Linked DNA regions of Mus musculus. The protein of the gene in region 1 interacts with the protein of each later gene in a pairwise test. Links are inferred from orthologs where the notes say so. Each region holds a gene or a part of one and is shown on either strand. Other genes may lie near its edges.

What was found. The genes of interacting proteins can lie anywhere in the genome.
Region 2: the proteins of Meox2 (region 1) and Naa10 interact in binary tests that used the Homo sapiens proteins (3 or more experiments, as listed by UniProt). The two-hybrid records come from large-scale screens. The link is inferred for Mus musculus from reciprocal best matches to the Homo sapiens genes MEOX2 and NAA10.

What each region holds. Positions count from the first base shown.
Region 1 is NC_000078.6:37,177,270-37,180,178, forward strand, and holds the end of Meox2 (homeobox protein MOX-2), read left to right. Parts: intron 1-883; coding exon 884-1,108; 3' UTR 1,109-2,265; downstream 2,266-2,909. UniProt on the Homo sapiens protein: Mesodermal transcription factor that plays a key role in somitogenesis and somitogenesis and limb muscle differentiation. Required during limb development for normal appendicular muscle formation and for the normal regulation of myogenic genes.
Region 2 is NC_000086.7:73,916,209-73,918,944, forward strand, and holds the end of Naa10 (N-alpha-acetyltransferase 10), read right to left. Parts: intron 1,745-2,736; exon of another isoform or gene 1,720-1,744; coding exon 1,635-1,719; intron 1,079-1,634; coding exon of another isoform or gene 988-1,078; coding exon 751-987; 3' UTR 662-750; downstream 1-661. UniProt on the Homo sapiens protein: Catalytic subunit of N-terminal acetyltransferase complexes which display alpha (N-terminal) acetyltransferase activity. Acetylates amino termini that are devoid of initiator methionine.

The sequences.
Region 1 (2,909 bases):
TCCTAGTATTAAAAAAAAAGTGCTGACAAATCTAGATCTTGTGAAATAAGTTAATCAATATGAATTCATGAATTTTTTTTTACTGAGGTGGATTGTCACATTCTCTTGAGTCCTTTGAGGAAGTTTCTGGGTATTCACCCGGGCAGGGGCGGGGGATGCAAGGTAAATACTGAGGAATTTTTACTGTGGCTGCATTCTTTGGCAACAGTTCAATGATATTTCTGAAGTAAACGTTAATAAAGGCAAGAGCAGAAAGAAGACCAGTAAAGACAGACTTCCTGTAGAGTATCAGGAAACCAACTGTGCTAGGTCCTGCAGACAGTCCCCAGTTTAGCCGTGGTGGGCTGGAGACTCTTCTTCACGATAGTTTTATTGGGACACCATTCCATATAAATCAGGAGCATCTGGTCCTTTACTGAGGTGAATTATGCCCCCCATGCCCCCCGCCGATCTGAAAGGATGTGCTGAGAGATAATTCATGCCTTTCCAAGTTAAGGGACTTTCGTAGTAAATAGTGCGCTTTCAGAGGTGGATTTACCAGCAGATAAACCTGTAAAAATTCTACTGTCAAGTCAAAGATGAATTTCAGAGAATGTGTAAACTTTGATAGAGGTAAACATAATATTTTATTTGATCGATGAGAAACTCCACTCCAATGCTTCCGAGCAAACTTCCTCGCCTATTTGTAACTTTGTGTTATGTGTTGGAATTTACGATAATTCTTTGAATGTACTAAGCCTTTTCCATTACTACGCACATGCAATCTAACTCACTGCAATCCTGCCTGTTTTTTCTAATTGCTGCATCATGGTGTATGTGCGCAGGCACTTGAGCAACTAGGTCCTATTGCCTTTGCTGACTTACTTATTCCCTCTCTTTGAAGGTGAAAGTGTGGTTCCAGAACAGGAGAATGAAGTGGAAGCGGGTCAAAGGGGGACAGCAAGGAGCTGCTGCCCGAGAAAAGGAACTGGTGAATGTGAAAAAGGGAACGCTTCTTCCGTCAGAGCTGTCAGGAATCGGTGCAGCCACCCTCCAGCAGACAGGGGACTCACTAGCAAACGAGGACAGCCGCGATAGTGACCACAGCTCTGAGCACGCACACTTATGATACCTACAAAGACCAGCTCCATTCTCAGGAAAGCACCATTGTGATGGCAAACCTTACCGAACATCGTTTACATGGCAGATGTCTGTGGCAGTGTGGCTTAGTATAATTAAATGCAGGCATCTCGAGTCTGTGTCTCATGATGGATAGACGGTTTACACTAAGTGCCTTTTATTGAAGATGCTTCCACAGTGAAATTGGAGAAAGCGAACGTATTCCAAATACACTTGTTCCTATATATGACAGAGAGGGAGATGGATGTTTGCTTTGGCTTGCACTGAAAATTAAATTTGCTACCAAGAGCAAACTTGATAAGACGTTTTTACTCAAGATGTCTCCAGAGTGAAGATGTTAAAAATAAAAAATGCTTTGAACATTCCAGTTGTGCCAGGTCATGTGTGTGACACTAGGCAGGTATTTGCTTTTGCTTGCACTGAAAATTAAACTGCTATCAAGTTAATCCATGAAATAGTTTATCTTGAACAGCCACAGTGCCTGAAATCACCAAGTGGATATAAAATGTACTGAAACTCTGTATATATTACCCCTAAGTCATTTTTCCTGTCTTCACTAATTTTAGCAAATGCATTCATATTAGCTGATTAAAAATAGGCTTTTCCATTGACAAACACAGCCAGCTTCTTGTATTTTTATACATTTGTGTCAGACAGAGAAAATCAGTATGTGCTTACTTGTGTTCAAGTAGATAAAATGCAGTAGAGTCTGATAGGACATATCCTTGTACCACAGACAAAGCAAATCTTCTGTTGCATTGACTATCAACTGCTGCAGATACATTAGAGAACATACCTAGCTCCCCTCCAGCCTTCTTCTCTTATATCTTGAAAGACATTAGGATCATAGGCAAATCAGTTACCTTGCAGAACGAGTCTTGTGCGGCAAATGTCTGATTTTACATCTTTAAGTTGTTAATGTTTATGGGTCTGATTCAATTAACAGGGAAAAGCTTTCTTCCTCCTTGTTTATGATATAAAACCAAGTGCCAAACAAAGCTAATTCTTCAAGAGAATAGTTGAGAAACTGAATGTCTGACAATTAGACTCTGAAAGTGCATTATTTTTCATATGCTCTATATTCATGCAGAACAAGTTCTTGTATTTTGTAAAAAAAAAAAGATAAATAAATGATCCTTGAAATAATTATTGTCTCGCCACTGTGACTTCATTGGGTTTGGTAGATTTATTCTTTTATTTGGGATCAAGGCTGGTCTAGATGTCATTAGGTGACTCAGCTTGGCACTGACCTCTCAGCAATCTCTTGTCTCAGTCATCCAGGTGCCAGAATCATAGACTGGATCAACCATGTCTAGTTAATTTTAGTAGATTTGAAAAAAATAGATGCTTAAAAAGATTCCAAATTGTTTGCTTCTGTGTAAATCTAAATGGATATGAGTTATGAAATAAGATTCATAATTTCTGGTTTTTATTATGGCATAAAATTTGTAAGAATAGGCATATATATACTGAGCAATGTTAGGTAAATGAAATGGAAACATATTACAGGAGCTATAGGTAATGCATGGGCATTAGCCCAACACTTTTAGTTTATACTTATCTAACTTTTCAGTACTTAGTGAGAAACCCAAAAACTCACTCGCGGTAGATATATGCCCTACCATTGAACTCCCTGACCAGTCTGCAAATAGATGCTTCACGTTCATGATCTCTAGCTTTGGTGTGAAATATGAGATGAACAAACGTAAAAAGAACCCCACTTCTAACAGACATTGTTGATAGAAGAAAAATAAGGTGTCTCATTGCACAGCCAGTGTCACATCTAAGAG
Region 2 (2,736 bases), on another chromosome or scaffold:
AAAGGTTACAGATAGGAAGAGCCTAAGCACCTGGGGCTAGGATCTCTCCAGATAAGTGCAATGAGCAGTTGGACTTGGGCATTTGGGGTTCCAGAAGCTCCTACTGATGAGAACAAGTATGACCTAGGGTAAAGGGCTGAGAGGGGCATAAGGGGGCAAAGCAGTACAGCAAAGAACATCAAGGTAGGAGAGCTGCCTCTGAAATGTGAGGCTGACTAGAAAGCCCAGGAAATCATTTTGTTCAGCCCTAGAAAATTACATTAGGACAAAAAGGACATTAATGAGGCCTATAGGCCAGACACGTGACATCAGAATATAGCACCCAGCCGGGCGTAGTGGCGCACACCTTTAATCCCAGCACTCGGGAGGCAGAGGCAGACGGATTTCTGAGTTCGAGGCCAGCCTGGTCTACAAAGTGAGTTCCAGGACAGCCAAGGCTACACAGAGAAACCCTGTCTCGAAAAACCAGAAAAAAACAAAAAACAAAAAAAGAATATAGCACCCAAAACAGTTTACCTGCCAACTTCAACTCAGTTGTTGAAGATAGTCAGATTTGGGGTCCCATCCTCAAATCTGTTTTGACTTGTGAGCTCAATACAGTCTAGGCTGTGAAGATAGTATCCCTGACACATAGGAACTGGAAAAAAAAAAGCATACCCCACTATGCACATTCACAAATTTCCCAAGGCCACTGGGTGACATTTATTGTAAAAGCACATGGGGCAAGGTTGGGACCAGGTGGGGCAGGTTCTAGGAGGCAGAGTCAGAGGCCTCTGAGCTGTCTTTGACATCTGTGCTCTCTGTGGTCTCGCTGACCTCACTGAGGTCCTTGCTGTCCCCACCACTATCCTCAGCAGCCAGGCCCTTCTCCTCACGACAGGCCTCTCCTGAGCTCAGAAGCACGTTGCCTTTGTTCTCCGCTTTGTTCTCCAAGGCCGCCAGAACCATGTGCTTGCCCTTTTCCTTCAGCTCCAGGTGCCGCCTCAGCTGCCGCCAGGAGCCCAGAGGGAAGCGGGTGGAAAGAGACAGGGCCTAAGTCTCCAGACAGGAGACAAGAGGAGCCAGGCCCTGAGGCTGGCTGGGGGAAGGGACACAGTGAGAAGTGGTAGGGCCAAGGCAAGAAATAGGACTGGGTAGAAATGTAGTTCAATCCTAGCTCTGCCCTAAGCCTGCTTTCCTCATCTGTAAAATGACAAAGGTCCTATTGCCCTCAAATGTGCTGTTGGGGAGCCTCCAAGACAGAGCAGTACCTCCCCAGGAGGCTTGGTCAGAGACCCTTTCCCCCTAGCCCAGTTTAGTCCTAAATCTGAGCAGGCTGCCCCTGACCCTAGTAGTCCCTCTCCCTAGAAAAATATCTTCCTACTCTCTCTCCTGTTCCACCCACCTCCAGGCTTCTTCCCTAGAAAGCATCCCATAGCCCCCTCTAGAGTCAACAGAGGCCATGTCACAACTTGACAGCTTAGGAAGTGAGGGAAAGAGGGGCTCTACAACGACAAGGGCTGACACTCAATCTTGGTCTTGCCTCTAGCCACCACTGCCTCACTCAGTCTCACAGCTCTAAAGTAGCCACCTTTCCCAAGTACAGAATCTCCCCTGCTGCTGGAATTGCTGCCCTGGACTGGCTGAACTCTTACCTCATCAGCCATCTGCGTGAGGTCCCGCTTCATTGCATACGCATCTTCCCCATCTGCATAGTATTTGGGCTCCACTTCGCTGATCCTGGGGGTAGGATCAAGACACATGCCTAGGGGCAAATTCTCCTGGTTCTTAGGCTACTGGGGTAAATGTCATCTCCCCCATAGAACCTTTGTAGAGGCAAAAAGCCAGTGTGAATGGGCTTCTCCTTTTTGTTTTTCATTTGAATGAACTCTTGTCCAACTGCTGTGATAGTTATCTCTGCTTTTCCAGTGAAGCCGAGCAGCATGTAGCATCCAGGGTACTTCCCATTCCTAGACTTGCTACCACTTTGTCCCTAGCCTGACCAGCAAGGACTTGTGTTTTCAGTTGAAGCCCCTAGTTCTGCTTCTTCCTCTCCCTGACCTGCTTCTTATCATTTACTGAGCACATAGCCAGTTCCTCTGCTAGGAAAAAGGGACACTGTACCTGCATGTAGATAGTCAGCATAGACAACCTGGTTACTGACCAGATGGCTGAGGGAGGGGAGGGAGGTGTGTGTGCACACTTGAGTAGCCCTGACACTGGAAGGGAAGCCCTTTGATGACCTAGGAAGGTTCCTTGCCAGTCTTCAGAGGTACATGTTGGGTATCTTCCTCAGTTGCTTTCCACCTTATTTTTATTTTTTCAAAATAGGGTCTCTCACTGAATCTGGAACTTGTCCATTCAACTAGGCTGGTTGATTAGTGAACCCCAGGGACTCTCTTGTCTTAACCTCTTCAGCACTAGGATAACAGGTGCGGGGCACTGTATATGGCTTTTATGCATGGGTGCTAGGGATCAAACACACGTCCTCACAATTAAGCTTAATTGAGACAGGGTCTTGCTATGTGGTTGAGACTAACCTGGAACTCACTATGCTGGAACTCCAAGCCATAGTCGTCTACTTTGAGTGCAGAGATTAAGAGGCGTGTGTTACCATACCCAGCTGGAAACTGCTGACTTAGCAGCTAAAGCAGTTCCTGTTGCAGAGGCGTCTTAACTACGTCAAAGAGCCCTCCATGAATCTGGATGTAGAACCCAGAAAAGCTGAAGACTACTACCCTGTCCCAATGGTGTCAT